Linked DNA regions of Xenopus tropicalis. The protein of the gene in region 1 interacts with the protein of each later gene in a biochemical or structural test. Links are inferred from orthologs where the notes say so. Each region holds a gene or a part of one and is shown in the gene's direction. Other genes may lie near its edges.

Region 1 (4,116 bases):
TTTGCTACTGGTCTAGTAACCGACAGCAACCAATCACCAGGTTGCATTTACTGGTGAACACATCAGAAACTGGTTGTCTGTTTAACAAGCCTGGGCAAACTTTGCACTTTTATTACATGGCACTGCACTAGGCTCTGGCACTGGGCTGCAAGTAGGCTGCAGGCTCAGGTGTGTGGCACTGCAGGCTCAGGTTGCACTAGGTGTAGGCTCAGGTGGTGGCACTGCAGGCTCAGGTGGTGGCACTGCAGGTGGGTGTAGGCTCAGGCACTGCAAGGGTGTAGGCTCAGGTGGGTGGCTCAGGTGGGCTCAAGGGGCACTGGTGTGGCTCAGGTGGGTAGGCTCAGGTGGGTACTGCAAGGTAGGGGTGTAGGCTCAGGTGGTGTAGGCAGCAGGGTGTAGGCTCAGGTGGGTGGCACTGCTGTAGGCTCAGGTGGGTGGCACTGCAAGGGTGTAGGCTCAGGTGGGTGGCACTGCAAGGGGAAGGGGTGTAGGCTCAGGTGGGTGGCACTGCAAGGGGAAGAGGTGTAGGCTCAGGTGTGTGGGATGGATCCTAAGGTCAGGTTCTCTGGTGGTGGGGTTGCTGCCTTACCCCTTTTATACTGGCCACAACTTGAATCCACATCCTGCAAAGCTAAGAAGCAATTAACTGATGCATGCTGCAGACTGAACTGATTTACGTGCAGCCATGCAGTATACGTCTAAATGAATTGATAACTAGCAATATGGTTTTAATATGTGGCCAATTATAAAAGGGTAAGGGGGCAACCCCAGGAGGGCCCCTAGTACTCTGACCCAACACTGCTTCCTTATGGGACCCAACATTAATCAGTAAAATTGATTTTTAACCCCTAACCAGTTCCACACTGTTTAGGAGAACATTTCACTATATTTTGGGACCCATTTATAGCCCCAATGTACTCAATCTAAAAGTCACGGACACCTAATGTGCAGTGACTTACCGAGCAAGCTATGACCTTAAGGTGCCTGGCTGACAATCTCCAAACACCAGCTGTTGTTGTTTAACTGCAACTCACAAAGCATCTGCTAATATTCATACGCGTTCCGCTGCTGCCTCCCTCACTAAAAGCTGCAATCCTGCGCTTATCAGCATGGTAACACATCTTCCCGCCTCCTTCGTACTCCTGACCAATCACAAATAAAGTGACGTAATCCCCACATTCCTTTCTCTACGCCGCTTCAAAGCCAAGAACGAGTCTGCCAATAGCGGATTTTGATTGGCCAAAGGGAGGTCCCGCTTTAATCTCAGCACCAATGGGAGCGCTCGTTTTCCTGCTGTTTTTGGAACACGTGTAGACCCGGAACTAGGAAGACACCAGCGTGCTGAAGAAGAATCGCGGATCGTAGGTGAGGAGAGGGAGGCAGCGCTTTGTACTGGGGATTTGTGTAACTTGGTAGTGGAGCGGTACTACTCCCATAAGGTTACTGCTAGCTAATGGCTGTGGGACTATCTCCCCCGGCAGTGACTAGTAGAAAGGCTCTGTAATGTATGTGAGGATACGGCGGCCTTCCAGCTGTTACTGGAGATAAATATATATATATATATATAATATATATATATATTGTAAGGTGATGGTTACGTGGAGGGATCCAGAAAACTACTGGTTTAGCACACACCTAAACCATGTGGAATTCTGGGAATTGGCCTTTCTGCATTGTGGTGTTGCAGAACTGTACATCTCAGACTGAATCAATACATTAGGCGCCAGTGTTTTTCCTTTATTTGCAAGAATATCTTGTACAATGGAAACAAATGATACATTACAGTGTTCAGCATATACTCACAAATAAAACCAGTGCTTTTCCCTATCAGGGGCCGATAACTGAACATTTATTTAGTCAACACCGAAATGTCCAATCCTCAGTATGAGGTCCTATAAGTGGAACCTAGGCAAACTAGTTCTGGACACTTTTTCCCCCTATCCTTAGGGTGGTACAACTAGGACTTTAACCCTTCTATTGTCCTTGGTGGAGCTTCATGTTGCTCACTAGATACTCTAAGCCTGTCTTTCACTCCTGGAGTGAACTACCCACCATTAGCTTCACCTTCTGGGCCTTCCTCTGCCCAGGCTCTATAACATGCAGGAAGGTGGAATCCAATGAAAGATCAATAAGGGTTGACTTCCCCTTTTATGGAACAAAACAATTTCCTCTATTGTCTACAGTTACTAAACTGCGAGGAAAATAAAGGGTTGGCTACCATCAGTCTTCTATACACACACTAAAATGACTAGATATGTTACCTTGGCAATCCTCTGTCATACCTAATTGGTGCTTGCACAATACAGTTAGTGCACATATCCCAGTCGGGTAGGAGTTATGCCAGTAGTATTAGCTGCAGTGGTTTGATGGCTAGCTCCAATGTGATACTTGCCCAATGGGATTTTATAGCCAGCACCATTGATATTGGTTTGGCAGACCTTATATTTTCCTCCATATCCCACATATCCCAGTCGGGTAGGAGACAGGGAACTCCTTTAGTTATGCCAGTAATATTAGCTGCAGTGGTTTGATGGCTAGCTCCAATGTGATACTTGCCCAATGGGATTTTATAGCCAGCACCATTGATATTGGTTTGGCAGACCTTCTATTTTCCTCCATACACATATCCTTCTTCCACACATTGGTCATTCAATTTGATTATTGGTGGTTTTGTTGTCTGGGTTATGGATCAAACATTGAGCAACTTTCATCATTTCTGTTCTAGTGGAAATCATGATAACCCCTGCATTTGACATTAGTCAAGATTCAGATTTTCTTACAATAATTATCAAGGTTCCGTATGCCAGAGCTTCAGAAATTGATATTTACATCGAAGGCGATGACTTCAAATTCTACGCCAAGCCATATTTCCTGAGGTAAGGGATATTTCATATGCTTTGGTTTGTTTATACTGCAGGCATTTATCTATGATCTTTCAGCTTAAGAGACTGGCAAATATGGAACTCATAGGCCTCTTCCTGCTCTTAGGCTAATGTCCAACAGGGCGATTAGTCACCCGTTATACATCCCTGTTACCACGGGAAACTAATCTCCCTAAAAAGCCATTCCACCGGCAACAAAGAGAATCGCTGGTGGAAAGATCTACGCATCACTTCATTTTTTTAAGGTTGCACCAAGTTGCCTGCAGGAAGTAACTTCGTACAACTTCAGAAAAATGAAGCGACACGTTGGCCACAAAGCCCCGGGCCTAGGGCGGCATGCCCCCCCCCAGTGCAGCCAATCAGTATGGGGTGATTAGTCGCCCACGGTAGCATAGATTTATCATGGGCAACTAATCTCTCTGTGGGGCATAAGCTATGCTATAGGGTGGACGCTTTTGCTACGTAAAGTTGATGGGGTTTATTGATGTGGTTCCCAGCCTTCCCTGAGTTCCATGGGCCATATTTTTTATATGTGTTTTGCAAAAGAAAGATACTACCATTTGAAGCTGTTCCTTCTTCAAAACATTTTAAACAGTATTAGCCAGTGGACCACAGAACCCTCATATAAGGAGTGATCTATATAATACACAAGAGGCACAACTCTTCTGTAAACTTTATCCAACTAAACAGAGCTTAGTGATGCTGTTATTAGTGATGCAGTTATAATTGGTGCTTAATGATGTAATTTGTGTCACATGACATGTTTATTAAAAAAAAAAAAATGTACCCCCTGTCAGCCCTTGACTGGCAATCTCTGGATTCTGGATGCTCTAAGATGCCATAGACAGTCACTATTTCTTTGGGCTGGTGGGGAGCTGTTTGGGCCTCTGGGTACTTTTTATGCAAGGGCCTATTTTGAATTCCAGTCTGGACCTGGTCCCTGCTGTAAAATATGATGATATCATAAATTCATAGTTTAGTGACCTGTAGAAAAGCACTCAACACTCGGTCTTTGTGCCTGGTCATGGAACATCGGTATAATAATCTTATATTTTACAATAGGTGATACATTATTCCCTATATAAACTAATTCTTATAGTCTCATAATTATTCTATATATTTTCGACATACCTTCCTGGACATGCCGTTCTATCCCTCTGCTTCAGCTTGTGTATGTAACTCATTAAACTTCTAAGATCGCAAGTTCTGCAGGGCAGATGCTGCCTTTCTCTTG
Region 2 (3,652 bases), on another chromosome or scaffold:
TCATACTCCTGGCTTTTAATAATACAGCAGGACTATGGTTGATTTTTTCTGTAGGTAATGGCTGAACATGTGATGTATAGTTGAAACATAAACCATTGGCACATTTACTGATATAACTGCTTCAGTATAGAGTCAGGTTAGAAGTGCAAACTAAGGGTGACATTTATAGAAGTTTTTGAGACCAAAAACCTAAATTAGATAAATATGAAGGGATATTAAGTAGTGACTCTTAAAATGTCACTAGTAGGGACTGAAGATGGCATCTTACTTTGCGTTGACACCTATTCATGTGTCATTCGCCCTCTGCTGTTCATATTAACTGGCTGCCCCCATTTTGCTCTGTCCCCTCTAGGGAAAGAGTATGTGGGAATTGTACGGTTGCACAATGCGTTGGAGAACGAACTACAACTTTCACGGGTAAGGTAATGGTCTACCTTAAATTGGCTGCCAGACCTATTCCCAAATTATGTCCCAATATATGAGATTTCATGTTTGCCACACAATCAATGCAGCATGAGCACAAGACAAGTTTGAACATCAATTTTCCCCATTACTTTATCTAAAGCAAGATGGTGGCTATAGATTTCTGTTAACTTATGTCTCCTTTTTGCTAGTGGCAAATCAGTAAACAAACCAGCCTCCTAGCAAAGGTGCACTATGCAAGTTTCCTATGTTTAATGCTCGGCCAACTTTTATTCTTACTGTCCTCAGGCTTTGGAGACACTCACTGGTGCATTATTCCAGCGTCCACCTTTAATAGCTGCTGTTAAGAGGCAGTTGCGTGTAAGAACAATCTACGAGAGCAAACTAATAGAATATGACCCTGAACGTCGGCTAGGTGAGTTACTGGTCAGGTTGTCCTCAGACTTTAAATGCTATAAAAGTAGGTATTTCATGTGCGTTTAAGCAGTTAATACAAGGTGTAATGGCTTATAAGGTGTATTATGGTTTGTTAAATTTAAAATGAGATGTTGAAATGCCTTCTGGAGGTGTACTGGGAAGATATACTGTGTTCAGTCTGTATTTGAGGCACCTGTTGTGGGCCATTGAAATTTTAGAATGTATGAACACTATTTTTGCTCTGATACGGATACTTTTGATACTGGTGTGGAATTGCTCAAGGTGTCAAGAGCTATAATATTGCTTATGCTTGCAAAAGCTTTATGTACATGCTTGGGCTATGTAGAATGCAAGGTACATGACTGCTCTGATGTCTAAATACAAAATAGACCATGCCCTGTGCATAAACAGATGATGATATCTTTTTATTTAAAGGCAGCAAAGCCACTTTAACAAATGAAAGGTGGGCTCATGTTCATTGGAACAGCTTTACTGCTTTAGATGGGTATGTTGGTGTTGGTCTTCTGATGTATAAAAGAGTCTAACAAACCTTTTATGTGGTACTAATTCCTTTGTCCCCCTTCCTGCTCTTTAGGTATATTTTGGGTAAGCTGTGAGGCTGGTACATATATCCGGACTCTGTGTGTTCACATTGGCTTGCTGCTGGGGGTTGGAGGTCAAATGCAGGAGCTACGTCGTGTTCGCTCTGGTGTCCTAGGAGAGAAGGTAGGTACCATATCGATAGATAAAATTTTCTAGGTGGCATCACCTGCTGCACCCAAAAGCGTTGAGTTCAGTATGAGTTGTCTGTCTCATACTGGTAATAAGCTTTGGAACATTAATGAGCTTACAGGAAATGAAGAGTAACAGGACTCTCTATCCTGTTGCCAACAGTTCAGTATGAATATCCTAGCTAACTATGACTCCTAAATTGCTTCTCTATATAATGCCTCTGTTTCACAGGATAACCTTGTCACAATGCATGATGTTCTGGACGCGCAGTGGCAGTTTGATAACAATAAGGATGAAAGTTACTTACGCAGAGTCATCTTTCCACTAGAGAAACTTCTAGTGTCTCACAAAAGACTTGTCATGAAGGATAGTGCAGTAAGTACCTTTTTTGTGCATATAGAATTGCTGTTGCAACTTTAGTCTAAAGCTGGGGTCTGAACAAGTCTTATTACCTGCTTTCTCTCAAAAGGTCAATGCTATTTGTTACGGTGCAAAAATCATGCTGCCGGGGCTGCTCAGATATGAGGATGGGATAGAACTAAATCAAGAGATTGTGGTGATAACTACAAAAGGAGAAGCAATCTGTATTGGTAAGTCTTTGGAACTTTATATGGTGGTCACTGACTAGGGCCAGTAACACTGAAAACCACTCTATGCTCAGATTGTCGGTTACAAAGATTTGCAGTTGTATATTGGTAGAGCCACAAATTAGTTTGGCTTGTGTATGTTGACAAATATTAAAATGAGGATATATCTGAAATGGGAAGGGCTTTTTGCCATTCTAAAGAAGTGGTTATTTATATAAACATGTCACATTGAACCTAATGCACTATTTAGATTTAGTGTGTTACCATAATTTTTTTTTTTTTTTTTTTTTTGACTTGTCTTTAGTACTATTCATTCCTGACCAGCCCCAGTGACCAAAGTATAGCTTTCAAAATATCACTTTGGCTGATTACTATTTCTCTCCATATAACTGCCCATGACTAGGAAGACTAGCTTATCTGATCAGGCAGTGTTAATGAGGCTTGAACTCTTGTTGTGAAATGATGACACAGTTTATCCATTCTCTGAGCCTGCAGCCAGCCATTGCAGCTCACAGACTCCTAATGTTGTCTGTGAGTCTCTTCCCCTCTTAGTGTTGGTGATGCTGCGTCCTGCAGTGTGACCTTCACGCAGAGGTGTGTTGGGAGCAAGGGATGTGGCCAAAGGGCAAGACGAGAGAAAACTTACTGATCACTACTGCCTTAAATATCTTTCAAATTACTAGTGTGAAACAATCAGCTGACCTTGTCTTTCTCTCTTCAGCCGTAGCCCTTATGACAACTGCAGTGATATCTACATGTGATCATGGAGTTGTGGCAAAGATTAAACGTGTCATTATGGAGAGGGATACTTATCCACGCAAATGGGGACTTGGTCCTAAAGTAAGTTGACTATTCTCTTCTAATTGCCAAGAACTGGTGGGGTTGGTATTTAGCTGTAGTACTTCTTGCAAGCCACATGATGATATCTTGATAAGTCAGTAGCACAATGTGTGATGTTGACTCCTATCTATCACCCAATAACTGATGGCTTTTTTTTTTTATTCTAAATATTTATTTGACACACCAGCTGCTGCCTTTCAAAATGCTGCATTATTGAAGTTTTTTTTTTTTTTGTTCATTGCAGGCTAGTCAGAAGAAGATGATGATTCAGAAAGGCTTGTTAGACAAGCATGGCAAACCTAATGAGAGCACACCTTCAGGTTGGAAGCAGGAATATGTTGATTACAGGTTTGACTTGTTACTTATCTTTTGCACTGGCTTCCCTTGCTTTTTCATCTTAGAAACTCCTTTATACCATTAGCCAGGAAAGTGTAATCTATATTCTGAGGCTACAGCAATCCGTATTAGAAATGAGCTGACCGTTTTTTGATTAAGCTCGGGTATTTTGTTCTAACTCTTCTTTCATTTGCAGTGCTACACCAAAAATCCAGCAAGCAGCAGATGCTCCAAAGGTAATACTTATAACATTTCTTGTTGCAGGAAGTTATCCCTTACTTGTCCATCCATGGCACTTAGAGGGAGTCATCCTGCTA

Evidence for each region.
Region 2: the proteins of shq1 (region 1) and dkc1 are reported together in a solved structure, tested with the Homo sapiens proteins (2 studies listed by BioGRID, with this or other methods). The link is inferred for Xenopus tropicalis from reciprocal best matches to the Homo sapiens genes SHQ1 and DKC1.

The regions. Positions count from the first base shown.
Region 1 is NC_030680.2:139,959,339-139,963,454, forward strand, and holds the start of shq1 (protein SHQ1 homolog), read left to right. Parts: upstream 1-1,208; 5' UTR 1,209-1,375; intron 1,376-2,725; 5' UTR 2,726-2,733; coding exon 2,734-2,876; intron 2,877-4,116. UniProt on the Homo sapiens protein: Required for the quantitative accumulation of H/ACA ribonucleoproteins (RNPs), including telomerase, probably through the stabilization of DKC1, from the time of its synthesis until its association with NOP10, NHP2, and NAF1 at the nascent H/ACA RNA.
Region 2 is NC_030684.2:38,923,066-38,926,717, forward strand, and holds part of dkc1 (H/ACA ribonucleoprotein complex subunit DKC1), read left to right. Parts: intron 1-352; coding exon 353-417; intron 418-711; coding exon 712-838; intron 839-1,435; coding exon 1,436-1,566; intron 1,567-1,803; coding exon 1,804-1,947; intron 1,948-2,041; coding exon 2,042-2,162; intron 2,163-2,880; coding exon 2,881-2,999; intron 3,000-3,070; exon of another isoform or gene 3,071-3,149; intron 3,150-3,243; coding exon 3,244-3,347; intron 3,348-3,531; coding exon 3,532-3,571; intron 3,572-3,652.